Linked DNA regions of Macaca fascicularis. The protein of the gene in region 6 interacts with the protein of the main gene of each other region in a biochemical or structural test. Links are inferred from orthologs where the notes say so. Each region holds a gene or a part of one and is shown on either strand. Other genes may lie near its edges. The genes, in order: KLF16, MXD1, SMARCA2, ZBTB16, SMARCA4, SIN3A and MECP2.

Region 1 (4,041 bases), on a different chromosome or scaffold from region 6:
TGCCCCCGCCGCCTTGGGCCTGCGAACTGGGCCATCCGCGTCCCTGGCGTCCCCGTCGTCCCCGCCAATATTTAACAACTTGGTCTGGACGTCCTTGCGTCCGGGAGGCCCCAATACCTGGCCTCACTTTTCCCGTCCAAACCCCAAGGATCGATGCCTGGGACTGGAAAGAGAAGCCTCGGATCCCGGTGTCCCAGCAGGGCGGGGAACCTCTGATCCGCTCAGGCGTCCCCAGCTTAGCCCTTTCTTTGCATTCGGCCACCTCTTCCTGTCCCCCTATCCCGACCCTCTGGGACCCAACCGGCTCTCCCCACCCCCAGTGGGGCGCGCTCCAGTAGCTCCGGAACTGGGTGCAAAAAGAGGAACGAACGCAGGCTTGCCCCACCCTCCCGGGCCCCGCCGCGGGCGCGGGATACCGGGTGCCTCGGCCGGGAGGCTCCTAGGGGCTCTGTGAGCTGCGACGGGGAACCCTAGAGAAGAGGACGAGCAGATGCCTGGGTGCGGGGTCAAAGCAGGGCCCCAGGCCAGGATAAGAGGGGGGAAGGGTCGCGCACGTGGCCTAGGGGCGGGGCCGGCCGCTTCCGCACCCCCCCCAACCCCGGCCACGTGGGAATCGAGCCCTCCTCCATCGCGAACGGGGGCGCGCCCGAGGCCAGGGGGGAGGCATCCGGGGAGGGGGCGGGCTCCCGCCGGCCGCGCGCCCCGGCGTGGGTTGGGCGCGCCAGCGAGGAGGCGGGGCGTACTCTGGGAGGGAGGGGCGTGCCGGGATGGGGCGGGGCGCGCTCTGGGAGGGAGGGGCGTGCTGGAGACGGGGCGGGGTCCTCGGCCTCCCGCCCCGGCTTGGGGGGTGGTGCTCCGGGAGAGGGCACCGGGGGCGCGCGCTGGAGTGGGGCGCGCCGGGAGGGGGCGGGGCTCCCCGGCCTTGCACCCCAGTGCGGGGAGTGCGCGCTCCGGGCCTAAGACGCTGGGCGCTCCCGGAGGCCTGAGTGGGCGCGCCGGGGGGCGGGTTCCTCCGGCCCGAGCCCCGCCCCCGGCGACCGCGCTCGGAGTGGTGGAGGGCGCGCCGGGCGGGGGGCGTGGCTGCGGCGCCCCGAGGGGGCGTCCTCCGGGCGGGGCGGGCTGTGGCCGCCCCCGCGGGCTCCGGTGCGTCAGGGCGCGTCAGGCGGGGCGGGGCAGGCCGAGCGCGGGCGGCGGCGGCGGCGCGCGCCGGGCCTCCTCCTCCTCCTCCGCCTCCGCCTCCCGCACTTGAGCAGCCGCCGCCGGCCGGACGGGCGCCGCTCCCGCCGCCTCCGCTCCGCCCGCCGCGCCGCGCGCCCTTGCCCGGCATGTCGGCGGCCGTGGCGTGTGTGGATTACTTCGCCGCCGACGTGCTCATGGCCATCTCCTCGGGCGCCGTGGTGCACCGCGGGCGGCCCGGCCCCGAGGGCGCGGGCCCCGCCGCTGGCCTGGATGTGCGCGCGGCGCGCCGCGAGGCCGCCTCGCCCGGGACCCCGGGGCCGCCCCCGCCGCCTCCCGCCGCCCCTGGCCCGGGCCCTGGCGCCGCCGCGGCGCCCCACCTGCTGGCCGCCAGCATCCTGGCCGACCTGCGCGGCGGGCCCGGAGCCGCCCCGGGGGGCGCCTCGCCCGCCTCCTCCTCCTCAGCCGCCTCGTCCCCGTCCTCGGGCCGCGCCCCCGGCGCCGCGCCCTCCGCCGCCGCCAAGAGCCACCGCTGTCCCTTCCCGGACTGCGCCAAAGCCTACTACAAGTCCTCGCACCTAAAGTCGCACCTGCGGACGCACACAGGTGAGCGGAGCTGCGATCCCGGGCCGCGCGGGGGCGAACGCCTGAGCCCCCTCCCCCGCCAGGACCCCGAAACTGCGTGGCGCGTGGGGGGCGGGGAGGGGGGCGCGCCCGGGCCGCCGCCGCGCCGGCCGGCAGGGCGGGGCCTCGGTGGGTGGGGCGCGCGCGGGGGGCGTGGCGGCCACGCGGTCGGGCGGCGAGCGGATGGCCGCCCCGGCTGCAGTGGCTGGGGCTCCGGGGACCCAGCGAGGTCCGCGGGCGGGAGTGAGACTCCTGGGCAGGCCACCTCTCTCTCTCTGGGCCTTGTTCCGTTTTTTGTTTTTTTTCTTTTGCGTTATGGTCTGGGCGGTGGGCATTGTGGTTGGGGCATCCGGCTCTGGGGTTCTGGGTCCTCCCCCTCCCCCAGCCTCAGTTTCCTTATCTATGAAAATGGAGGAGGAACCGCGTCGCCGCCTCCGGGGTGGCCGCGCGGATTCTCCCTAGAGGTCGGCAGAGCACCTGGCGTGGGGCCAGGATGGGGGGGAGCCCGGCACGTTTTCTCTGCGTTCTCTGTATTTTAACGAGGGGGAGGGCGCAGCTGGGAGCGCCGGTTGGGGCCTGAGTCTCGGGCGGGGGGACATTATAGGAAGGTCCACACTACGTGTATTTCCCCGGCGTGTTTGTTCACCCCTATCTGGCAGGCGATTCGGGAAGGTGCGCAGGGTTGGAGCGGGGAGCGCTCCGGATACACCAACGCCCCTCCTAGCGCAGTCCCTGGGGCGGCGAGGGGAACCGGGAGCCGAGTGGGCCTGGCCGTATTTTTTCACTCTGACTCCTCCTTGGATTCCACCTTCTGGACTGGGAGTTTGGACTGGGGAACAGGGGACGGTGGGCCTTGATGGCCGGCCTGGTTTTGGGCATTAGAGGTGCTTGTCCCTTACTGGGGAGGGTGGGGGGCTGGGGGAAGCCTGTCGGGCCGCACTTGGGCTTGGCATTCTGGCCTTGCCACCAAACAGAGGACCTCTACCCGATCTGGGTCTCAATTTTCTCATCTCTATCAAGAGTGCGATGCTGTCTCTTATTTCATAGCCGTAGCGGGGGCCGTTTTGGGCAGCGGGATACTCCAAGGGGGCTTGGTCCGTGGGCTGGGATTGTAGGGACACGTGGAGCGGCCGAAGGGAAGCAGGTTGTCCAGAGTGGTGAGGCTGAGGTGAGCAGGGGCCGCGAATGCCTTGTGGAAGAATTGAGGGTTCATCCTTGGGGCGTGGGGAGCCGCGCTGGGACGCCTGAGGCTGGAGAGCAGGAGGGCGGGTGGGGGCGGTGGTTTGTAGCCCGCAGGCTGCCCCCCTGTCTTTTCTCCACGCTTTCCACCCCTTGCTCAGTCCCTGTCCTGGTCCCAGGGGCCTGGAGGCTCTGCCCACCTTGAGACACAGACGGGAACCAAGGGCGTCAAGATAGGACTTGGGTGGGGTCTGCGTTTTCTGCGAGGACCCCTCGGCGGAGGGGTCCCAAGGTGTTACCTCTTTTTGAGGGCAATAGGGTTCGTGTATCTCCGCGGGGAGGGACACTGGGGGACTGTGAAGATGGCGAGGCAGCGTTGGGAACAGAAAGGGAGGTGCCTCTCTGGGCGGTGGGCAGGGGTCCAGGAATGCCCTGGCTTGTCCGGGGTGAGTTTGCCGATCTGAACAGACAAGGGACTGAAGTGGGAGCCTGTTGAGAAAGCGACTCCCACTTGTCTACCCAGGTCATTCTTCCTATGCCAGATGGCGTGGCCTGAGAGCTTCATTTGGGTTTTCTGAGTTTCTGGGTGAAGTGGATGGGATGGCCACCTCCCACAGTGGCACCCAGGAGGCGCTTCCACAGGCCCCTGGGTAGTGGGGGCGGCGGTCCCTAAGCCAGCAGGGAGGGGAAGGATGGGTTCGGAGTCCTGGGAAGGCAGGATTGTTATCCTGGGATTGCGGTGATAAACTGAGGCCTGGGGGTGCAGATGTGCTGATGATTCGCCACCGTCTACCCTGTGCGGTGGGGGAGGGCAGGGTGGATCTCCTGGCACCCTCCCCCACCCCTTGGGAGCCTGCTGACATCCCATTCCAAAGCCCCCTTCACAGTAACGATTTGGGGACTGAGAAGGCAGTCCCAGGCCCAGGCACCTTGGATTAGGTTTCCAAAGGGTTTTGGATACTTGTGGTTTTCCAGGCTCCTCTTCCAGGCCTCCCCAGCCCCCAGGGCCACCAAAGGGTCTGTGCAAACAGCTTCTTTTCGTGGAAGGGGCTCTGGTTTTAT
Region 2 (4,083 bases), on a different chromosome or scaffold from region 6:
AATACAAAAATAAGCTGGGCGTGGTGGTGGGCACCAGTAATCCCAGCTACTCAGGAGATTGAGGCAGGAGAATCGCTTGAACCGGGCGGGAGAAGGAGGTTGCCGTGAGCCGAGATTGCGCCATTGCACTCCAGCCTGGCCGACAAGAGCAAAACTCCCTTTCAAAACAAAAAAAACAAAAAACCCCCAATAATCTTGTGAGTGCCTTCATCTAGAATTAAAAGGGAGGGGAAAACCCTAAAAGAGATTTAAGTCAAAGAATCTTAGAGTTTAATGCCATTCTGTAGGTTCACAAAGTCTCAGCTTTAAAAACCCACTCGCGTGAAAGGAATTAATTATTCCATCATTTCCCGGGGATGGAGGGGGTGCGGAAAAGGCGCATGAGCTCAATGCTGTATATTGGAGCCCGATTCCAGCTCTTTCTTGAGGGCAGAAAAAACGCCAGGCGGCAAGCATTTAACAACCGCCAGGCTTTTCTTCTCAAGCCCCGCAGCAGCCACGTGGCGCCTGCCCGAGCTCCCGGCTCACCGGCCACTATCCTACACCGCTCTCCGGGATGATTCGCGGCTGGGCCCTCGCCAGCCGGAGTTCCGCGAAGCCCAGAACCTCCAGGGCCGCGGCCACCAGACCCAGGGCTCCGGCCCCGAACCCAAGCGGCGCAGAGCGCCCAGGCGACGCGAGGTGCCAGCCTTCCATTCGAGGGACGCCTGGCAGGTCCCCGGAAGTTTTCCCCGGGGACAGGTCTTGGCAACAGGTCCGAGGCGAGACCGGGTGGAGCCGAGCTCCGCGGCTGCCGGTGAATCAGCGCCGCCCAGCGCCGGACCGGCCCTCCCAGCCAATGCCACACCTGGTGAGGAGCAGGCAGGCCGCTGACCATCAGCCACTTAGGGCTCGCCTGAACTGGAGAAAGGTGACATCATCGTAGCTGGGAGGTTTCCGAAGGCTTCACCAATGGGAGACCGGCGAGGTGCTTGCCTGCTACAGCTCTTGGCCAATACTAACAAAGCAAAAGGGGGCCCGGGTTGTTGGTATAGAACCAATGGGAAACAAGGAAGGAGCACGAGGCGGAGTTGCGAATCCTGTCACCAATTGGAAAGAGGGGGTGGAGCCCGGGCCTTGTCAAGCGTGACCAACCAGCGAGAGGAGCGGACTTTGGGGGGTGGAGCCGTGAAGCCCTCTCCCAATCGCACAAGTTTGGGGGCGGGGCATTCTTTGGGGGGCCCAATGAGGAACGCGGCCGAAGCTGGCCTGTCAAGAGAAGGGGCTGGGGGCGGGGAGATGGTGAGTCGGGGATAAACACTCCGCGGCGGTGGCGGCTGCTGCTCTGCTCCGGGTTCTGTCACGGTGTCGGCGGTGCCCAGCTCACTGGCCCCCCTCCCTCTCTTGTCGAGCGTGGTTGCCAGAGAGGCTCCCTCAGCCCTGCTCCGCGGTGTCCACAGCGGGCTCCATAGCGGTCCGGCGGCGGCAGCGAGCCCGTGGGCAGTGGGGGTTGGTCCCGTGGCTCCGGCCCCCGGTGCAGAATGGCGGCGGCGGTTCGGATGAACATCCAGATGCTGCTGGAGGCGGCCGACTATCTGGAGCGGCGAGAGAGAGGTGCACGGGGACGGGAAGGGGTCCACTCGAACCGAGGCCGGGGGTCCTGTAGGGCCGGCCTCAGGTCCGGGCGCCCAGCCGCTCCGGGGGTGGTTGGAGGCGGGGAGACCGCGAGCGCTCCCAACCCCTCCGGCTCTCCCCACGCGCGGTCCGAAGGGAGGCCGCCGCTGCCCTAGAGCAATGAATCAGATGGAGAAGGGGCTTTCGCCCGCCGGGGTCCCGAACGCCGCCCCTTCCGCAGTCCCTCCCGAATGGGTGGCCGGGGCCCCCTCCGATAGCCTCCCTGGTTTACCTCACCCGGGCTGGTCCCGGCCGGCCCCCAGGTGGGTCCAGCGCCCCAGTCTCCTGGGCAGAGGAGCAGCGCCTCACGGTGCTTGCCCCGCACCTTCGCCTGAGGCTGGTTCCACTTAACCCGCACCAACCTGCTGGACGTTGCCAGTGGGAAACCCAGGCTGCGTGAGCTTAGCCACTACTGTGTCTTTCTCAACAATGAGCAGCTGGAATCCTCTTTACACCTGCTCCGAACTGAGGGTATTCACACAATGTTGTTTTTTTTTTTTTTTTTTTTTAATCATTGTTCTCAGAATTCCACCTTACTCCATTTAATTATTTCCACAATATTCTTTTAAAGATAAATAAAGGAAAAAGGAAATACTGTAGAGAGGAGAGAGTATTAAATATTCTGGGCCCATTCATTAACTGGATCCTCCTGTTTTCTAGAAGCTGAACATGGTTATGCCTCCATGTTACCATACAATAACAAGGACAGAGATGCCTTAAAACGGAGGAACAAATCCAAAAAGAATAACAGCAGTAGCAGGTAATTTGGTAAATACTTCTTTCTGTCTTTTAGATTATATTGTAGGTGACACAAACTGCTGAATGTAAGTTGCCTGTTGTGATTATAACCCTATAAAATTACATTGTGGCCGTCATGATTCAGTAATGTACACATGGACTTAAGACCTTGTAGGAAGCTGTTTCTGTTTGGGTTGAGGGAACTGAAAAGAAAAATAGAAATGTTTTACATTTTTTATGAACTTTATTCAAAATTTAATTTCGCTTTTCTTCCCTTTTGGAACAAAAAAATCTGTGAAAGCTTCAAGTGAGATTAGCAATGGTGACAATATTTTCCCTTCAGAAGTTGCAGATCAGGGCAAGTTTTCTATAAGTCAAAATGCTGGACATTATCCATTTCTTTTACTTTTCGTTGTAATGATTTTATAAACACATTAAAGTACCTGATTTGGCATAAGTGGTAGGATCTCATACTTGACATGTAAATTAAATACAGTGGTTTGTTTGATACTCTAATTTGTCACCTCTATTTGTAATGGCAAAGAGGAATGATTGAGGTTAAAACCTACCTCTTTAGTGATAGAGGAATATATAATACCGAAATATTAATATGCTACAACCTTTCCATGTTAGTCTTATAGATTGTCTTATACCATAGTTCTTAAAAGCTGTGAATCTCACTGGAGATTTGGTTAATGGTCAGTTAAATCACATATTAAAGTCCTGTGCATAGTTTCTGGTACATGTAAATAGTCCATCAATGTTACTGCCCTTTTTCTCCCTTCTTTGCCCTTAAAATGTAGTTGGCTAGGAAATTCGTTTTATTAGATCCCTTCAACTATACCTTTCCTGCCAGTAAATTAAAAGCATTGATTTTTTCATCACTGGTTTAGAATCCTCATCCCTCCCTCACCCTCATGAATAACTCCTTGCAAGTATCTATTTGATATTCTCTGTGGCTTAATACAGACCAGGAATTTCCCACTTAAACCTAAAAATCACTTGTTCTTGCTGCGTCTTCTGTACTTGGTTCACCTCATTAGTATCGTTGGTGGAACCACAGGATGTGAGCAGCATTACTTGTGCCATGCCCTTGAATAAAAATGGCACATGAAGAATCAACCTGGTAATTACTTGGTGGGTTTTGCTTGTCCTCTAATCTTAGCATTACCTGAAGGTGGTAGCCTGTAGTTTTGTGCATGGATATGAAGGCACTTTAAGAAGGTTGTTAATACTGACTTGTAATATGCAATGGTATAAAAACAATTCAGCTGTGTTGCATTTTAATACAGTATTTTTTTTAATTTGTTTAAAAGAATTTTGAGGCCTTTCAGTTAATTTTTCTGGAAAAACATAGTCCATTTTGGCTTTTATTATTGTCCACTAATGATTTGAGAGGAATTGTCCATGTTACTTATTTAGGCTTAATACCTTAACACCTTATTTTTTTCCTTAGTTTCACAGGAAGGTTGTAGGGGATGTTCACTAGTGGGGATAAAAAAATGAGATGTTGAAGTGGTTTGGTCCCAAAAGGTGATTAGGAAAGAAAAATAATAGTAGTTAAGAATCTTAAGCCAAGAAATGGATTCTTTCTAGTAGAAAGAATCAGTACTATGCCAAAAAAAAAAAAAAAAAAAGGGCTACAAATTCTTCTGTTAATGGGTTGGTTTGCTTTCCATGGTTAGAGACAGG
Region 3 (3,940 bases), on a different chromosome or scaffold from region 6:
GCTGACTTCAGCTCTGTCACAGATGTTGACTCACCACTGGTCTGCCTTCTCTCTCCCTTGCCACTCCCTTCCTTCTGCCAAAGTTAGCATGCTGGATCAGTAGGATGCAAAGCTGCGCATGACCCTTTTTGGGGCTGGACACTGTCATCTGGCCAGATAAACTAACAGGCTAGCAAATCCAGTTGGGGCTGGTTGTACTTTGCCCACGTCTGTTGCAGCATATGGTGCATTCACTTGAAGTGACTGACAGAGCTATTTAACTTTGCAGTTTGTTCGTCTGATGCCCCTACCCAAATACCACACATACTGTCACATATTGGTGAACAGTCTTCAGTGTGGTTGCAATTCATGGCTATCATAAGGGGAATACTTTAAAATTGGATTTGAGCTCCATAGTTCCTAAGATGGCAGAGCTGGACAGAAACATTTGGAGACATACCCTTTAATTGGCCCCATAAATTTATACAGAAAGAAATTGAAGCAGAAAGATTGAGTGACTCCCGCAAGGACTCACACAGCCAGTTAGTATTAGGACTAGAGCTAGAACCTTCGACCCTGACTTCCAACTCAGTGTTTTTTCCAGCTCAGGCTGTTCACATGTTGCCTTTCATTTTATCTCCAAAATTTGGCCCCTTGGAACCTTTCCTGGAATTGGACTTCTGAGCCTAAAGTGGCTTAATGCACACTTTTGGGAAAGGATAGCCAGGAGGCCTCTAAGTGGTTTTGATCAAGTTTGCCAGTATTTACACCCTAGGATGATCTGCATAAACTTCATAAATAATGTAAATTCCTACAAAGTGAGTTAACAGTGAGCTACATGGTCTTTTGAAAAATCCGTGTTATGCAATCACCCTGGCAAAGTTAACAACGCAATAGAGTACTGAAGGTAACCACTGATTGCAGTCACTGCTATTGACCATTTTAAGTGTGACTATTTTTAAAATACTGTATGCCTCATTAAGCTGGGCTCTGAAAATGAGGAATTTGCTTTAACTGCATTGTTTTGAATTGCTGAGAGAAGAATCTATCAACCACAAGGTGCCCTGCTGCTGAACTCAGCCAAAAAGCTGTTAATAACTCCAGCAGATGTTTCAGCTTTTTAGGCCAATAGACTCCCTTTCTCCCTGCCCTCCCCTTTCCAGAATCTGATGCCAATATGACTGAACTCCAGTTTTTGTGGTGGTTGTCGCCACCGCCGCCGCTGCTAGGGCCGGTGATACAATGCCGCTGAGGAATGATCCTTTAAACAACCGGTGGCCACAGAACCTCAGCCCTTTAAGGTCAGAATATTATTGCTTTTACCATCAGAAATTTAAATCTTCAGGGGGGAAATGAAGGTAAGGGCACAAATTCAGTATCTTTGTTTTGTTGTCTGCCTTCATTGCTAGTCATTTTGTTTAGCTTTTTGTGGCTTCTCCCAATGCTAAAAGTGCATTTCTCAGACTCATCAGAGTGCTGGGCTTGCTAAGGTTAAGGGTCATTCATACACTGGAGGCTCCACTGATCCGGGAGAGAGGTTCTTGGGTTAGCAGCTTTACAAAGGGGGCCTCTGCGTGATGCACAGTTTTGTGTGGTTGTATGCCTGATACCGTGTGGCTCAGATGCCCTGACCTTAGCACTTCTGCAATATTAGATGTGAGTTTTATAAACACAGCTACATCCCTGTGAGATAGGTAGAGTATGAGGGCACACAGGGTCACCGCAGTCCCATACCAGGATTTATCAACATCTCTGAACTGGGATAAACCTGACATTGTCACCTGAAATTAAATCTACATTCCAATCTTTCCAAATGAGAAGACGTTAGAAATAAAGGCGGAGGAGAGATCCTGCCCCCTTCCCTGACACTTCCTGCCCTGCCTCCTACTCAATTATTTTGGAGAGGGTGCTTTAACACACCCTGGTGACAACAGGGTGACCAAGAAAACACAGGTGCACCGCATTATGAAATGCTGTGTTGGCTAGGAACACATCTGAACTGCACATCTATACACATCATCATGCAGAGAATTGCCATTTCAAGGGGGGAAAAAATGAGAGGCAGAATTAAGTTCATAAATATTTTGTTTCCTTATTTTGATGCAACACAAAGCCAGAATATCCAGGACTCTGTGGACCTCTATTGTCAGCTTCAACATTTGCCAACCATAGTAATTCAACCCCCAAATCTCTGCTGTATGCCATACTGGCTGTAAAAAGTAAGTGCCTTTTCCCTGGTGTCGCTGCCACCATACTGTTTGCATGCTCTCAGCCCTGTATCATTCTAATTCTCAAGAAAAGCTCAGGAATACAACGCAAGCCCCGCCGCCCCATCACTTTTTTAACTTGGATAAAGAAATAGATTACATTGTGACTTGGTCCACATTCTCTTAAGTACATGTGCAGAGAACTCATTAATGCTAATGGAATTTGCGCATATGCATTGAAGGGAGAATATAGTTGCCCGTGCCTGTGTATTCTTTATTTTCTTACTGTACACTTGAGGGTTCTGTGGCACCTATAGCTTCTAATTCTGAAACATGAGTAATTCAGATTAAAAAGTATACCATTCATTTTGAAATATATTTCAAAAGCAAATGGGATGGATATTTCTGCTTAGATCACTATGATTCCAAGAAGCCAATACCAGATGATGATTCTTTAGTAAAATAAGCAACCAATGTTGTAATAATAAAATACGGTTAAAAAAAAACAGCAAAAACTCGCTACTGAATCAGTAGAAAATATATTCTCATTATTTAAAAAATACCTACAAAATAACCCACATGCATGTCTAGGGGAGTAAAAACACAAGATGATGGGGTAAAAAAGAACTGAAAATAATCATAGGTAATCTGAGACTCCAAGCCTGCCAGCAGTGAATATTGGTGACAGGCATTAACAAACTATGTGGGGATGTCTGAGGCCCAGCTAAATCCAGACCATGTACTTCATTAGGTCTTGAACTTTACCTGGAATCTTGTACTGCAAATGATGATTTCCAAACTGTTTTGTTCTTGATTATTTCCAGTCCAAGTAAAATGGACAATAAAGAAAAGATGCTTCCATGCTGTTTCCATGATGGATGTTCACAACCAAAATAACTTCACCATCTGATGTATTTCACAGTTTTAAGTTAAAACAGACATACTATAATATGCTTGTACATCTGGCTCAGGTGCTTCATTTGCCATATGTTTGTGAAATAATCCAAGGAGATGTTACAATTGTACGTTCCCCTTGGGACTTGAAGAAAATGTGCCCACAAAGAGTTACCTAATTATTCATTCCTGCCAACAACATCCTCTCCTAATAAGAAGGTGGTTCTTAAAATGAGACAATAGTGCTTTCAGTCTTGAGAGATGTCAGTACCACTTATTGTTTCAGAAACAGAAAATCTTATGCATTTTTTAAAATAAGAAAAAGATCTTTGGCCTTTAAAGCAAATAAAATACTCTGCAGGCGGTATATTTGGTATTCTTGTGGGGGCAAATTCTGCAGCGCTGATCAAGGCCTATTATTTCCTGAAACTCATTGAATTAAAGCCCATGAAGCCACATAGAAATTAGTGACCCAAAGTTGATAGTCTCTAAGGAATGGCTGCTCTGGCAATACTATACATTTATGGAGAACTTTGTAATCGGCAAATTGCTTTCATATATGTTACCACATTTAATTCTTATAATAATTTTGTGAAGCAGGTAAAAAAAGGCATCCCTTGTTTAATCATGCCACTTGTAGTACTGATTCTTCACAGCACTAATAAGCAAAATATGAACATCTTTTTTTAAAAAAATTGTAAATTACTTTGGTCTTTACCAATAAATACCACTTGCCATAGCACACATTTCTCTCTTTAAGAGTCATTGACAATCTGCTTTTTTCCCTCTTTTCCTGTTATTTGCATCCTTCTAAACTATGACTTTTTCTGATTCTATTTTAATTAAAAATTTGATTTTCT
Region 4 (3,500 bases), on a different chromosome or scaffold from region 6:
AACACAGGTATTGCTTGTTTATTCAATGGAGGTGTGGCCGTGGATCCCTAAGTTGTCTTTGGAGGTGGTGAATACAGGCCGTCTCATCCTTCTCATGCACTGAATGTGCCCTACTGGCCCCTGAGGAGGGGGCAGGGAGAGGCAAATGCCTGATCCAGCTGCTTGTCTCCACAGGCGACCACCCCTACGAGTGTGAGTTCTGTGGCAGCTGCTTCCGGGATGAGAGCACACTCAAGAGCCACAAACGCATCCACACGGGTGAGAAACCCTATGAGTGCAATGGCTGTGGCAAGAAGTTCAGCCTCAAGCATCAGCTGGAGACGCACTATAGGGTGCACACAGGTACTGAAGGCCAGGGAGGGGTCTGAGCTGGCTCTGGGACCTGGGTGGAGGTGGGAAGCAGATGGTCTCCTGGAGAAGCCTAAGTGAGGATGATCCCAGGCTGAATCAAAGAGTAGAAGAGGTTCTATTAAGGGCTGGTATGATGACCTGAGGGCCACCACACCCCAGTCAAGGTGGCCTGAGGGCCACCAGTCAAGGCCAAGGCAGACATTACTAATCAATCCCAGCACACTTTCCAATGAGCCCCCACCAGCTCTCCAGGCAGCTATACCAATAGTTCAGAGGTGACATGCAAAATGATGTCTGTATATGAGTCCTAAATTAGGGGTAAGTTGGTCCAGTTAGCTGGAAGCGAAGGTTAGGGGTAATTTCATGTTACTCAAGGGTTACAGTAAGAATTAGGATGCATTGAATCAGGTTATTATGGAAGTTGGGAAATTGTAAAGTTAGATTGTGTTTGGTTCTGAGATTAGAAGAGCAGATATATTTAATAATCCCTATATGCATATGATGTTTTACCATTTCAGAGTGCCTTCACATTTTTTTTTTTTTAGACAGAGTTTCGCTCTTGTTGCCCAGGCTGGAGTGCAGTGGCATGATCTCAGCTCACTGCAATCTCTGCCTCCTGGGTTCAAGCAATTCTCCTGCCTCAGCCTCCCGATTACCTGGGATTACAGGCGTGTGCCACCATGCCCGGCTAATTTTGTATTTTTTTTTTAGCAGAGACGGGTTTGCCATGTTGGTCAGTCTGGTCTCAAACTCCTGACCTCAAGTGATTCACCCGTCTCGGCCTCCAAAGTGCTGGGATTACAGGCATGAGCCACCGTGCCCGGCCACATTATTGTTTGTATTGGAAAAAGAAATGTGGGCCACTGCTTTTCCTGAGGTCAGAAGACAAAAGAAGTGAAGGGTCTTCCACAGTGTCCGAGGTTGGGGGCAGTGGAGTATTGGAGCTTGCTTGTGAAAGCTAATTTTTCACATTTCTTCACAACTTCAAGTTCAGCGACATCACCTTAGTTGCTTAAAATTGGCCCTGGTAGGAGTATTCACATCATAGCAATCAGCAGATGCTACAAACCAGGGCTTTTTAGAAAGCCAGTTGTTAAACATTTACCACCAGCACATTGCTGGTTGTGGGGAAGGCTGATTTACAGAAGGGTAAGAGGTGGTGGCACATGGAAAACAAAGAAACCCCTCTGATCGGGGGGACAGCTGTCCTGTCCAGAGGAAGGGGGAGAGGTGGCTTCAGGCAGGTCCTGCTGGCTTAGAGGAGAGTACATTGCCTTTGGAGGAGAAGGGTGGACAGAAGGAGCAGTAAGCAGAGCTACGTGTTGTCAGAGCTCAGTTTTCGTGCCCCAGTTTGAGCCCCCAAGGACAGGGTTGGGTGTCCATTGCTGACACCTATAGTGACCCAGAGGATTTCCCAGAGCCCTGGGGTTTCCTTAGCCCCTTGTCGGGGATGTGACCTGGCAGGTGGATCATTAACTGTATTGGCAGTGACTATTGTAAATAGCTGGTCGATGGTTAGATCACTTTGGCTGTTCATTACTTCATTATTTGCTGGGGCCTGTGCACGGAGGAGTATTGATAGCGAGATGGCTGGCCAGTTAATTACTGTATTGAAACAAGGTTCCCTCACATCCTCTGCTCAGCTCTAGGGGACTCTATGGAAGGAAAGTTGGGGTATAGAAGGCTAGGGTGTGGCTGTGTACTCCCAGGTTCTTTATCCTTCCCATCCCACCCCACCCCCAATTCTAGCCTCAGGAGGGAGGCAGGGTCCAGGGCAAAGTCTTAGCAGTTTTAGCAGGATAGGCCGGGTGCGGTGGCTCATGCCTATAATCCCAGGACTTTGGGAGGCCGAGGCAGGCAGATCACTTGAAGTCAGGAGTTCAAGCCCAGCCTAGCCAACATGGTGAAACCCTGTCTCTACTAAAAATACAAAAATTAGCCAGGCATGGTGGCAGCACCTGTGATCCCAGCTACTTGGGAGGCTGAGGCAGGAGAATCACTTGAACCCAGGAGGCAGAGGTTGCAGTGAGCTGAGATCGTACCACTGCATTCCAGCCTGGGCAACACAGTGAGACACCATCTCAAAAAAAAAAAAGGCTTTAGCTGGATAGAGGTTCCCAGGTGCGGCATATTTGAAGGACTGGGTTCCCTCAGTTTTCCACCACCCCTGCTCCCCACCATCTGTAGCCCTGAAAGGTCTCAATCCACCTGCTCCCTGGATGGAACTGCGGCTCGAAGAGCCATTCCTGAGGACCGTGGGGCCTTTCTCTTTCTAGACACTCATTTTCTTAATTAGAAAGGGAAAAGACTGTGGCCTTAGGAGAGTTAAGAATAGTAAGACAAGGAACTGGGCAATCCAGTAGTCAACTAGCTACATGTAGCTATTTAAATTAGTTACAATGAAATAAAATCAGAAAACTGTAGAGCTCCAGTCGCACCAGCCTGGTTCATAGCCATGTGTGACTGGTGGCTGCCGTCTTGGGTGGTGCCTTCATTGTCCCAGAAAGTTCTGTTGGAACAAGCCCAGCAGGAGGAACCCAGCTTCCCTGGCACACCTGAGGGTGACATGGTGCCCTCACCGCCCTCTGTCTGTCCTCACTTTCTCCTGCCCTGTCCCTCTGCCCTCAGGTGAGAAGCCCTTTGAGTGTAAGCTGTGCCACCAGCGCTCCCGGGACTACTCGGCCATGATCAAGCACCTGAGAACGCACAACGGCGCCTCGCCCTACCAGTGCACCATCTGCACAGAGTACTGCCCCAGCCTCTCCTCCATGCAGAAGCACATGAAGGGCCACAAGCCCGAGGAGATCCCGCCCGACTGGAGGATAGAGAAGACGTACCTCTACCTGTGCTACGTGTGAAGGGAGGCCCGCGGCGGTGGAGCCGAGCGGGGAGCCAGAAAGAAGAGTTGGATCGAGATGAAGGAAGGACTATGAAAAATAAAAAAGGAAAAGAAAAAAAAAAAGAGAAGGAAACGGAAACCTGATAGCTTTTTGGCCTTGGATTCTCTCTGGGCTCCAGATGACCTGGATGCCAAGCCACTGCCCCTCCTCTGGGGGCCTCCACCCTCCTCTCCCGGCTGGAGGTTTGCCTGATTTTCTGGGATGGGGTGGGGTATTTTGTTCACTCAAATGGTGGCACATTTTTCTCCT
Region 5 (4,165 bases), on a different chromosome or scaffold from region 6:
GCTCACTGCAACCTCGCCCTCTGGGGTTTAAGCAATTCTCCTGCTTCAGCCTTCTGAGTAGCCAGGATTATAGGCGCCTGCCACCATGCCAGCTAATTTTTGTATTTTTAGTAGAGACAGGGTTTCACCATATTTGTCAGGCTGGTCTTGAACTCCTGACCTTGTGATTTGCCTGCCTTGGCCTCCCAAAGTGTTGGGATTACAGGTGTGAGTCACCGTGCCTGGCCTCTTTTTTTGTTTTTTGAGACGGAGTCTTGCTCTGTTGCCCAGGCTAGAATGCGATGTTATAATCTCGGCTCACTGCTAGCTCCGCCTCCCGGGTTCACGTCATTCTCCTGCCTCAGCCTCCTGAGTAGTTTAGGACTACAGGCGCCTGCCAACATGCCCGGCTAATTTTTTGTATTTTTACTAGAGACCGGGTTTCACCATGTTAGCCAGGATGGTCTCGATCTCCTGACCTCATGATCCACCAGCCTAGGCCTCCCTAAGTGCTGGGATTACAGGCGTGGCCTACCGCGCCCGGCTAATTTTTGTATTTTTAGTAGAGACGGGGTTCACCGTGTTGGTCAGGCTGGTCTCTAACTCCTGACCTCAGGTGATCCGCCCGCCTCGGTCTCCCAAAGTGCTGGATTACAGGCGTGAGCCACCAAGTTCAGCCTCTCACACTGCGCTCTTTTGCTTATTAATCTTGCTTCTTGTCCTCCTCCCCCACTAGACCGTGGGATCCACGGTGGCTGAGATACAGTAGCAGATCAATAAATATTTGCTAAGCTAATTAACGGCACTCGGGAGGTTTTGCAGAGAAGGCGGCCACGGTCGGGCCCCGCCTAGCTCCCCAAACAGGCCTTGCCGCCCCAGATCAGGGATCAAAGCGGTTCCCAAGCGCGCCCTTGGTCCGCGGAAAACCACTGCCCGGTCTTGGCCCAGGCGGCCGGTCCTACGGTCCAGGGTTCCTATTTCCGAGCCTCAGGAACCTCCTTTCCCCATGGATCCCACAGCCACCGGGATCCCATCCCCCAATTGCCCCGCCGCCACCGCCGTCGCCGTCGCCGCCGCAGTGGCGCCCGCTCTGCGCATGCTCCCGTGCGTCAGGACGCGCGGCGTGCGGAGGGCGAAGCTGCCCGTGCGCAGGCGCGAGGCCTCGCAGCCCGAGTGGGGCGGTGCACGGGACGCGCGTGCTTCCTCCGGACCACGCCCACCTCTGTCAGCTCTGGAGCGGGCGCGCACGCGCGGGGGGAGAGGAAGGGCGGGCTGGCGCGCGCACAAGGCTGGGCAGGCGGCGGAAGCTGGAGAGGCCGCCGCGGTGCTGAGGGGGAGGGGAGCCGGCGAGCGCGCGCGTAGCGGGGGCGCGGGCGGCGCGCGTGTGTGTGAAGGGGGGGCGGTGGCCGAGGCAGTCGGGCGCGCGCGCGAGGCTTCCCCTCGCTTGGCGGCTGCGGCGGCTTCTTTGTTTCGTGAGGAGAAGCGAGACGCCCACTCTGCCCCCGGCCCCGCGCGGAGGGGCGGGGGCGGCGCCGGGAAGGCGACGGCGCCGGCGGCTCCCGGTAAGGAACGCGGGCCGCGGGGGCAGCGCGGCGCGGGGCCAGGGAGGGCGGTTTGAATGGAGCCGGGGCGCCGAGGGGGGAGGGGGCCGCCGGCGCGCCCTGTGCGGGACCGGGGTACGGCGGCGCCCGAGGGTCAAGAAGCGCCGCCGGCAGCCGCGCTCGTGGGGAAGGCCACAGCGTCGCGAGGCCGCGGCAGCGGCGGTCCCCGCGGAGCGGCGGGGTGGGTGGGGGGCCCGGGCCGCGTGGAGGCCGCGCGATCCTCTCTGCGCGCGCTCTCGCCGGGGTCGCCGGACAAAGCTCGCCCCCCTCGCCCGGCACCCCTACAGTAGCCCTCCCAATTGCAGCGGCTCCAACAATAGGCAGGCGTTGGGGCTTTTCTGGCTGCGTGTTAAGGGGTCCGACCCGAATGTTGCCTTTTTGGCGAAGCTACGATCTGGGCTCAGTAGCCAAACCTCCAGATATGTCCGGCGTCGGCCGGACACGGGCATTAGCGGCCCCCTTGGGCTAGCCGACTTCAAATTGTCTTAAAAACGCGTCATTCCAGATTTTCAAGGAAAGGTAAAGGACTCCCCCAATGACTTTCAGTTAGTGACTTCAAAATGTTTGCCCGGAATTGGGGTTGGGGATGGGGTCGGCGGCAAGTAAGGGAGCACGGTGGAAATCCTTTGCTGTGTAAAAGCATTGCTTTTCTTTTGCATCCTTTTTCCTCCTTCCCAATTGGTTTTTCAGATTAAGGCTTTTATTTTCAACGTGGACCTTTTAGGCGAGTGTTTTGTCCGGATCTTGAAGACACCAGTCTTGATTTTTTTTTTTTTTTTTTTTTTTTGGTCAATGTCTCCTTGGGGAAAGTAGAAAGGGAGTAAGCGGAAAAGCCACTTCGCAGGAATTTGAAACAAGTTTTCAGTTTGGATTGATAGGGTGCATTAAGCTTGATTCCTGGTGCTGTCAGTCACTTAGCACACTGTCACTTTAGGGAAGTGCTTAACCTCTCTGAACCTCTTAGTTTTCCTCCTTTGTGAAAGCTCCTTTGTGAAAGGGGGTAATCTCCCAAATGCAGTTGGTAAAAGCCTGTAAAATGGTTCCTGGCAAGTGGGAAGCACTGTTGTTACTGTCTGGTTCAGTCTCCCTCATTGTTCAGCAAATAACTTCTTGAGGTCCTACTAAGTGTTGGATGGTCGGGGGGTTGGATCCTGGAACCTCTGCAGTCTTGGAGGGGATCGGGTGGTCAACGTGGGAACAAACACTCTTGGCCTGTCATTTAATGCTCTTGACCTGCGCTGTGAGAGGGACACAGCGGACAGGCAGGGGATCGGTGGTAGCCAGAGATCACGGGGGCTGCCTGAAAGAGGGGCCCTCAAAATCAGGGAGGATATATGTAGGATTGTATTTTGTTTTTGAGACAGTCTTGCCTGTCGCCCAGGCTGAAGTTCAGTGTCCCGATCTCCGCTCACTGTAACCTCTGCCTCCTGGGTTCAAGCGATTCTCCTGCCTTAGCCTCCTGAGTAGCTGGGACTACAGGTGCCCGCCACCACGCCTGGCTAATTTTTGTATTTTTAGTAAATATGGTGTTTTACCATGTTGGCCAGGCTGGTCTCAAACTCCTGACCTCAGGTGATCCACCCACCTCGGCCTCCCAAAGTGCTAGGACTACATGTGTGAGCCACCGCGCCAGAAGTGTATTTTGACTTTCCCTGGCCACCTGGGACTAGCCATTGTTCCCCTCAGCTATACTCACGCATCACCTTGGTCCTTTCCGGTGTAGCTGTCACCCCCAGCACCGTGAGAGCTGGGGTTGTGTCTGCCTGGCTGACCCCAGAGTACTCTGGGCCTGACACATAGTAGGTCTTTAGAGAAATTCTGTGGATTGAATGAGGGGGGTGGGGTCCTGTGGAAGATCACGTGACCATCTGTGTAAAAGGCTTGGTGCAGGGTGGGGTGCAGTGGCTCACACCTGACATCCCAGCAATTTGGAAGGCTGAGGTGGGGGAATTGCTCGAGCCCAGGAATTTGAGACTAACTTGGGCAACATAGTGAGACCTCATCTCTACAAAATATATAAAAATTAGCTGGGTGTGGTGGCATGTGCCAGTGGTCCTAGCTACTCAGGAGGCTGAGGTGGGAGGATTGCTTGAACCAGAGACGTGGAGGCTGCAGTGAACCATTCTTGCGCCCCTGCATTCCAGCCTGGGTACTAGAGTAAGAATGTCTCAAAAAAAAAAAAAAAAAAAAAAAGAAAAAGGAGAAAAAAAAGCTTGGTGCAGAACTGGGCATGGGTTGTAAGGGATACAGGTTAGTTATTTTAACAGTTTTGGAACTTTCCAAGCCATTGTTTCCCGAACCTCAGTTGTCTTCCTCTCCCCTACAAAGTGTGGGGTGGTGGTTAGCGTGGGGCGGTGGTAAGGAGTACCCATTCTGGAATCAGACCTCCTGAATTCACACCCAGCTCTTGAAATCCTAGCTTAACCTCAAACGAGGCGCTTAGCAGTAGGGCCCCCACTTGTGAAACAGGTAGGACGAGGATGCCTGAAACTTCACAGGCTTCTTGTGAGGGTTGAATGAGGTCACATGGGAAGCCGCTAACACACTGCAGCACCTGATGCATAGTGAACACTCGATTTTTTTTT
Region 6 (3,500 bases):
GAGGCCGAGGCGGGCGGATCACGAGGTCAGGAGATTGAGACCACAGTGAAACCCCGTCTCTACTAAAAATACAAAAAATTAGCCGGGCGCGGTGGCGGGTGCCTATAGTCCCAGCTACTCAGGAGGCTGAGGCAGGAGAATGGCGTGAACCCGGGAGGCGGAGCTTGCAGTGAGCCAAGATTGCGCCACTGCACTCCAGCCTGGGCTACAGAGCGAGATCTGTCTCAAAAAAAAAAAAGCAAGCATTTCTTTGTTACTTATGTTTAGTAAGGTTAGCTGATGAGTTAGCAGAGCTTGGCATCTGTTTTTGACAGAATGTTCCTATCCCCTCTCAACTGGTATGCTTCCAAATGAGAGGCAACTTCATTTCCCATTTATGACTACAAGGGCAAAGATGAAAGAAGTGGGGTAAGCATGTGTTTAAGATTTGGTGGGATGAGCGAGTTTGAAGGAACATGTTTACCAATTAAGATAGGTTAGTAATGCTTCAGTACAGACAGCTCCCACATCTGAGTGACTTGTAAAGCCAATGGGTTTAATTTCTAATCATTCTACATGTACATTGATGTTTAGCAGGGGATTTGGCATATCAGAATCACTTGGGGATTCAGGCCAAGGGATTGCCACCATTATGATTGTTGCTAGTCACTAGGAGGAAAAGAGATCTCAGAAGGATCTCACACCTTTAAATGCTCCAGCCTAGAAGTGATAAACATTACTTCTTCTCAACTCATAACAACTCATTTGTCAGAACTAGTTACATGACCCTATCCAATCATAAGGGAGTCAGGAAGTTAGTCCATTTTTTGTCGGTAATTGGAGAGCAAGAGGGGCCAGAAGTATTGACAAAATGATGACCACATTTCCAAAACAAGAAAATTTAGGGAACACTTCTGCAAACATTTGGTTGTAGACTGTTCATTTAGGAGTCCAATAAGAATTTAAATCATTACCCGCAGATACAACAGTGAACTCCTTAGGGTATGATAGTCACTGCTCTTATTATTACTGGATGTGGAACAAGGCTATTGAGTATTTTAGTATTTGAATATATTTAAATATTTCAAGTTAAAAAAAAAACTCTCAAGACAGAGCCGTCTTTTGGTATTGTTTTGATTGTTATTGTTTGTTCATAACGGATCTTAGCAATTCAGGAAAGTTCAGGGAAAAGTATCAGTAAAGTCATCTCTTGTTAGGTTCCTCCGGTCTAAGATCAGTAGTCTTAAGCAAAGCACATGGTGCAGGTGGTGGTGGTGATAACTACCGTTTATCCAGCTTCATCCTGTGGTTCTTATGTGCCAGGTATTGCGCTGAATACTTTATGTGGATTGTATAATTTAATCCAGAAATAGGCTTGTGAGAGTAATAGGTGCTGTTATCCCTATTTTGCTGATAAAGAAACAGTCTTATGTAGCTAGTAGGGCAGAACCAGGATTCAAATCCAAGGAGTTTGACTCCCTACCTTATTTTTCTAATCACTACTCTATTCTATTCTGATTTGGGTCCTGAGCATACCCTTCTTTGTCTTCCTCTTCAGCTTGATGTAGTTTTAGAGACCAATCTGGCAACAATCCGGGTTCTGGAAGCAATACAGAAGAAGCTTTCCCGCTTGTCTGCTGAGGAACAAGCCAAATTTCGCTTGGACAACACCCTTGGGGGCACATCAGAAGTCATCCATAGAAAAGCACTCCAGAGGATATATGCTGATAAAGCAGCTGACATCATTGATGGTCTGAGAAAGAATCCCTCCATTGCTGTTCCGATTGTCCTTAAAAGGTACCTGAGCAAATGTGCCCTTAGTGCTTTAGTGTGTACTTCATTACTGGTTCAGTGTCCCATTAAATAAGTCTCTCATTTTCAACCTGGTTGTCCCATGAGACCTCTCTTTCTCCCCAACCCTGGGGGAGTATTTTAAAATACAGAAAAGAAGATAATTACCACCCATGTTCCTGCCACGCTCAGGACTAACTGTTGTTAACATCTTTGTGGTTTTTTTGTTTGTTTGTTTGTTTGAGACAAGATCTCTCTCTTTCACCCAGGCTGGAGTGCAGTAGTAAGAACACAGCTTACTGCAGCCGCAACTTCCCAGGCTCAGGTGATCCTCCCACCTCAGCCTCCTGAATAGCTGGGACTACAGGAGTACACCACCACACCCAGCTAATTTTTATTTTATTTTTTTTTAATAGAGATAAGGTCTTGCTATGTTTCCCAGGCTGGCCTCTAACTCCTGGGCTCAAGCAGTCCTCCTGCCTTGGCCTCCTCAAAGTGCTAGCATTACAGGCACCAGCCACACCATGCCCAGCCCCATGTCATTATTGACCACACTGTAAATCCTTTGTTAGGAGCTTGGTTCTCTCAGTATCATCTGGTAAAAACTAATTCTTAGTTGCTGCACAGTTCACAAATACCCAGATTTTATTTGTCCTCCCTCATCTTCCCCTCAAGAGCTGGCACAGATTGATGGTTTCTTCTTCTTGCCTGTAGTATTTAACTTCTGGCTTTTGAAATATAGGTTATTCTTCAGTTTTAGTGCTGTTTTTTTGTCTTAGCCTGTTCTCTTCTGGTTTATTAGAATCAGTTCTGATCAGAACTTTCCAGACTGTATCCAGAGGAACATAACTGTGCAAGTTCTCTGCTCTTGGACTTCTGTGTTTCTATTAGCATTGTGAACATTTTACAAAGTCCTACAGCAGAGAAACAAGAACTCTTTTTGCAAGGAATACTTACATCTCAAAGGTATTCCCTGGAATGCTGTTTGATAAGTAACCATTCTAGGTAAATTATTTGACTTTGAGATAACTCATTTCCCCAAAATAAGTCTTAGATAAGTAATTTCCTCATGAAACAGAGTTCAAGACTGGTTTGATAACATCCCAAGTTGCCAATAATTTTGACAGACCTAATATAGCTTTGACTTTTCTTGAAAGAAAGTAAACCTGGCAAATTTCTTTCTTCTAAACCCTCTGAATTCCCATATGTTGTTTCCATCCCTTCCCACTTCACTAGGTTGAAGATGAAAGAGGAAGAATGGCGAGAAGCTCAGCGAGGCTTTAACAAAGTATGGCGAGAACAAAATGAGAAATACTACTTGAAGTCTCTGGACCACCAGGGGATCAACTTTAAACAGAATGACACAAAGGTCCTGAGGTCTAAGAGCTTACTCAATGAGATTGAGAGTATCTATGATGAGGTGAGCTGGGGTTTTCTACATCTGTGAGTGGACTCTAGTCTATGTTTAGCACAGCTTTGATTTCTGGAAATTACCTTTGTTAAATGCAGGTGAGACTCTCTAAGACCTGTTGATTCCTGCTTTATAGCTGTCATAGCCTTTTCTATTCCTCATTCTACTATTTTAAATCTAAACTTTACCTTTATACCTAAGCTATTTGACTAGTTCCCTAGTTTACTATCCTGGTTTCAACTTATACCTCCTGCCTCCATTTTCCACTTCTCCCACTGCCTGTTTCCCTCAAACAATACCTTGTATCATATAGTCCCAT
Region 7 (4,043 bases), on a different chromosome or scaffold from region 6:
GAGGATGAAAACCCATAGATACCTAAATAGCACCCCCTTTACTCTTACTCTATCTTTCTCAAAGCCCCTGTCACTATGTGAAATGATACATTATACTTATGTGTATGCTAGTATGAATCTTCCCGGCAAGAATCTTAGTATGCTGTCTGTTCAGTACCATGCATCCAGAGCCTGGAAGAGTGCCTGGCACATAGCAGGTAGTCAATAAATGAATGGGGGCAGGCAGCCAAATCAGAATCAGGTTTTCTTGCTAAGCATAGAACTAACAGAAGGATCACTGAATGGATTGGATAATGACTGGCATCAGGGTAAGGTCCCCTTAACAAACACTCCTGTCCTGAACACCTGGTTAGCTAACACTTTTCTCATATTTTCCCAAAACACAATTGCTGGATCTCAGCTCCAAATCCATTTTTCTAGGAAAGTGAACAATTGCTGGATCTCAGCTCCCAAATCACATCTTTCAGGCAGAGCTAACATTGCCCCTTATTCACACCTCCACCAAACCATCTGATCCAACAATGACAGGTGTCACGAGGCCTTGGCATGCACTCTCTTCCCCCGCCAGAGTTCTGCGAAGGCCAGGGTTGGGATTTGTTGTCAGTTTATTCCCCACCCCTACGAGAACGTGACCACCGGGCAGGCTCAGATGAAATAATGCATTGAGTAGGCCTCTGAAACCAAGGCCCCTCAGCTGGGGCAACGTCAGGCTCCAGGGCGGGTAACTTTGCTGCTTCTGCTGAAAATGGTGATATTGAGAAACTGCGGGTGCAGTGAAACGCTTATTGCAGCGCACTCGGTGCATCTGTGGACAGAGGGTCAATCGCCCCTCAGGGCCGCGCAAACAGGCGTCCCGAGCCTGGGCCTTCACTTGCCCCAGCATCCGCAAGGGTCCATTAATCCTTAACATTCAAATTCCGCCCACTAAACCAGCCCCTCCGCGCCCAAGCCGCCTCTTTTCCCCAAACGTCGGCCGAAAGCAGCCAATCAACAGCTGGAGGGGACCGCCTCCTTTTCCCTGGCCGAAATGGACAAGAAATCTCGCCAATTGACGGCATCGCCGCTGTGACCGCCCCCCCGCCCCAGCCCGGCCATCACAGCCAATGGCGGGCGGGCTCGCAGCGGCGCCGGGGGCGGGGCGCGGGCGCGCAGGTGCAGCAGCGCGCGGGCCGGCCGGGAGGGCGGGGCGCGACGTCGACCGTGCGGGGTCCCGGCGTCGGCGGCGCGCGCGCTCCCTCCTCTCGGAGAGAGGGCTGTGGTAAAAGCCGTCCGGAAAATGGCCGCCGCCGCCGCCGCCGCGCCGAGCGGAGGAGGAGGAGGAGGCGAGGAGGAGAGACTGTGAGTGGGACCGCCGTGGCCGCGGGCGGGGACCCTTGCCGGGGGGCGGGGGTCAGGGGCGGGACGTGGCGCGGGAGGGGCCCGCGGGGTCGGACGACACGGCTGGCGGATGGCGTCCCTCCTCTCTACCCTCCCCCTCCCGCCGCCGCCGGTGGCGACTCTCCCTTCGGCCCGTCACCCGTGCTCGCGGGTGACCGTCCTCGGCGCGGCCTCCCTGGAGCCGCCTTCGCCTGACGCCCCTCTTCCTTCCGCCCTCGGCGCGCATCCCGGCCCCCGGCCCCGCGGGCGCCCCTGTCGCCGGGGCTTCGCCTGTCGGGGCTGCGCGCGCTCCTGCCCTGCTCGGGGCTTTGGGCCGCGGCGCCGTCGCGCGCCCGCGGCCCCGGCCTCTCCCTGGATCGCGCTCTCCCCTCTCCTCCCTCGCGCGCCCCCTCTCCCGTTACTTGGCCCCCCCCACCGGCGCGCGTGCGCACTTCGCCTCCCGTCGGGAGAGTGCGCCACAAGGGCTCCTGAGCTCTCACCCCCATCTCTGGGCTTTGCCTCCCCCTCCTTCTCGCCCATTCCATGAATTTCTGCCCCCCCACCCCCACGCGAGCGAGTAGGTCCACCGGCTCCTTTCCCCATCTAGCAGGAACAAGGAGGTGGGGATTATTGTCCACAAAAGGACTAGACATTGTGTTCTGGGTCCCACAACTCATCATAAAGAGGTGGTTATAGTTCCCATCAGGAGCCGTGAGTAGGGGACTGTGCGTCCAGCAGCACCCGAGGCTCTTCGGCGCCTGAGGCTCTAAGGTGCGAGCGTGTCCCCAGGGTGCTCAGAGGTTCTTTGGAGTGCTGTGGCCTCGGAATGTGAGCACCCTCCCATCTTACCCTCCCCTTCGCCGGCGATCTTCCAGTTACATAAGTGGAGTGGGACATAGTAGGTAACGGGCTCTCATCGCCCTGGAGCGCTCGGGATCACCGGTACCAGATGGAGCAAGTTCATCGCGACGCTGTGGCTCCTGTTCATTGTGCCTGAAAGGTTATTCTCTGTTCAGTTTGGTTATGACCGAATCACCCAAACTGAAACTCAGATGACTTTTATATGGCAGTGGCAATGTTTCTGTGGTTTTGCACTAAAGACTTAAGGTCATTATGAAGAGTTTAAAAGGATTGCTCTCGCAGGGGAGACCGTTTATGACATTGCTAAGTATGGACCCCAAGGGGGAAAAAGCTCATTCTGGAATTGCTCTGTGGCGGTGACTTCTGTTGTGAGTGTGTTCGGGTGTGGGTTGGTCACAGCAGAAATGGGCTCCACCACAAAATTGATATTCCTGACTCATGGTCAGACAGATGTGTGCTTCTGGTTATTTTTCCAGGAACAGGAATGGGCTCTGCCGAGCCTTGCACACGTTGTGTCTCTGCTGTGCGGGATCAGTACCCCAAACTGAGATAACAGGATCGAATTCATGGGTTGGTTGGTGATCCAGGAACCATACCTACTTGGATGTGATACTGAGTGACTTAGACGTTGTAGGACTCTCATAAGTTTTAGGCATTTTGTTATACTGTAAAAAGCATATACGGCCTCGGTAGTAACGTTGCACTAATAGGTAATTATTACTCTAGAGAATTTTGGGTTCCGTGGCTGGAATGTTCATCTGTATCTCAGCAATTTCAGTTAATAACCAGATTAAGCTGACCTCTTGAGTCTTTTGAAATCTGCTGGGTCCCTATAATAAGATAGGGTCTGGATTTTTTAATCTTTTGGGAATTTCCACCAAGGATTTAGGGAAATAGGCTTATTTATGGGCTTTTCAGGATTTCTATTTTAAATCCCAGTCAGGAAGTGTAGGAAGCACTTGCTTTTATTTTCTTACGTGAATATGTCAGAACCTTAAATCACCCAATCAATCTAGAAGTAGTACAATTGATTAAAATAAGTCACCACAGGTCACCCATTCGTGGCAGGTCAGCTAGGTGGCTGATCACTGGAATACAGTCATATCCCCAGGCAGACACAGGAGCCTCACTTGACGATCCCAAAGTTTGTACATCTGAGCTTGAGACATGACAAGTTGAGGTCTCTGCTTTGTTCTTCATAGTTGGCAGTTTGTCTCCTCGGGTTCCCCTCCAGTTAGCTGTTTATCATACACCTAGCCCTTTCAACAGTGCAGGCAGCTTCCATAGTATAGTTTTCTCTTCAAAGTGCCGGGTGGAGGGGTACCCCCCTTTCCATTGTCCTAATGGCTCCATAGGGCTTCCATACCAGCCCTTTCCAGTGTCCTAACAGCTCAAAGAAACCATCTATGACTTTCTTGTTAGCACTGGCCTATCACACCTTCCTATTGCCTGTTACTAAAATTTAACCTGGAATGCTTTAAGCTTAGAGTACTGGGTCTTTGTTTTACCCGATTGATAGGAGAGTGTCATACAGTCAGCAGAACTCCGACTTTTGTGCTGTTTAATACTTAGGTAGGTCTGGGGCAAGGCACAAACCACTGTGTATTCAAAGGGTTATGGTGCTTACATTCTGTGTGTATATGTTTGTAATTTCCAACCAGAGTCATTTCCCGTGCCTGCCCTGCCTCTGTGCAATCTCATCTAGTGGAGTAGGGAGGCAAGCTGTGGAGTTTGAAAAAAAAATAAACAAAAAAACTGGCTAGATGAGTTTAATAGGCTGTTACCCCCTCTGGAACATTCCTCCCATGTGGAGATGAAATGAGAAG

The links.
Region 1: the proteins of SIN3A (region 6) and KLF16 form a complex in vitro, tested with the Homo sapiens proteins (2 studies listed by BioGRID). The link is inferred for Macaca fascicularis from reciprocal best matches to the Homo sapiens genes SIN3A and KLF16.
Region 2: the proteins of SIN3A (region 6) and MXD1 form a complex in vitro, tested with the Homo sapiens proteins (4 studies listed by BioGRID, with this or other methods). The link is inferred for Macaca fascicularis from reciprocal best matches to the Homo sapiens genes SIN3A and MXD1.
Region 3: the proteins of SIN3A (region 6) and SMARCA2 form a complex in vitro, tested with the Homo sapiens proteins (2 studies listed by BioGRID). The link is inferred for Macaca fascicularis from reciprocal best matches to the Homo sapiens genes SIN3A and SMARCA2.
Region 4: the proteins of SIN3A (region 6) and ZBTB16 form a complex in vitro, tested with the Homo sapiens proteins (3 studies listed by BioGRID). The link is inferred for Macaca fascicularis from reciprocal best matches to the Homo sapiens genes SIN3A and ZBTB16.
Region 5: the proteins of SIN3A (region 6) and SMARCA4 form a complex in vitro, tested with the Homo sapiens proteins (2 studies listed by BioGRID). The link is inferred for Macaca fascicularis from reciprocal best matches to the Homo sapiens genes SIN3A and SMARCA4.
Region 7: the proteins of SIN3A (region 6) and MECP2 form a complex in vitro, tested with the Homo sapiens proteins (2 studies listed by BioGRID). The link is inferred for Macaca fascicularis from reciprocal best matches to the Homo sapiens genes SIN3A and MECP2.

The regions. Positions count from the first base shown.
Region 1 is NC_088393.1:2,485,594-2,489,634, reverse strand, and holds the start of KLF16 (Krueppel-like factor 16), read left to right. Parts: upstream 1-1,241; 5' UTR 1,242-1,325; coding exon 1,326-1,782; intron 1,783-4,041. UniProt on the Homo sapiens protein: Transcription factor that binds GC and GT boxes and displaces Sp1 and Sp3 from these sequences. Modulates dopaminergic transmission in the brain.
Region 2 is NC_088387.1:52,028,699-52,032,781, reverse strand, and holds the start of MXD1 (max dimerization protein 1), read left to right. Parts: upstream 1-1,283; 5' UTR 1,284-1,520; coding exon 1,521-1,593; intron 1,594-2,313; coding exon 2,314-2,413; intron 2,414-4,083. UniProt on the Homo sapiens protein: Component of a transcriptional repressor complex together with MAX. In complex with MAX binds to the core DNA sequence 5'-CAC[GA]TG-3'. Antagonizes MYC transcriptional activity by competing with MYC for MAX binding.
Region 3 is NC_088389.1:97,177,729-97,181,668, reverse strand, and holds the start of SMARCA2 (probable global transcription activator SNF2L2), read left to right. Parts: upstream 1-1,140; 5' UTR 1,141-1,280; intron 1,281-3,940. UniProt on the Homo sapiens protein: ATPase involved in transcriptional activation and repression of select genes by chromatin remodeling (alteration of DNA-nucleosome topology).
Region 4 is NC_088388.1:113,178,040-113,181,539, forward strand, and holds part of ZBTB16 (zinc finger and BTB domain-containing protein 16), read left to right. Parts: intron 1-174; coding exon 175-342; intron 343-2,979; coding exon 2,980-3,209; 3' UTR 3,210-3,500. UniProt on the Homo sapiens protein: Acts as a transcriptional repressor. Transcriptional repression may be mediated through recruitment of histone deacetylases to target promoters. May play a role in myeloid maturation and in the development and/or maintenance of other differentiated tissues.
Region 5 is NC_088393.1:11,528,665-11,532,829, forward strand, and holds the start of SMARCA4 (transcription activator BRG1), read left to right. Parts: upstream 1-1,365; 5' UTR 1,366-1,541; intron 1,542-4,165. UniProt on the Homo sapiens protein: ATPase involved in transcriptional activation and repression of select genes by chromatin remodeling (alteration of DNA-nucleosome topology).
Region 6 is NC_088381.1:52,618,009-52,621,508, reverse strand, and holds part of SIN3A (paired amphipathic helix protein Sin3a), read left to right. Parts: intron 1-1,537; coding exon 1,538-1,776; intron 1,777-3,006; coding exon 3,007-3,190; intron 3,191-3,500. UniProt on the Homo sapiens protein: Acts as a transcriptional repressor. Corepressor for REST. Interacts with MXI1 to repress MYC responsive genes and antagonize MYC oncogenic activities. Also interacts with MXD1-MAX heterodimers to repress transcription by tethering SIN3A to DNA.
Region 7 is NC_088395.1:160,165,549-160,169,591, reverse strand, and holds the start of MECP2 (methyl-CpG-binding protein 2), read left to right. Parts: upstream 1-1,243; 5' UTR 1,244-1,276; coding exon 1,277-1,338; intron 1,339-4,043. UniProt on the Homo sapiens protein: Chromosomal protein that binds to methylated DNA. It can bind specifically to a single methyl-CpG pair. It is not influenced by sequences flanking the methyl-CpGs.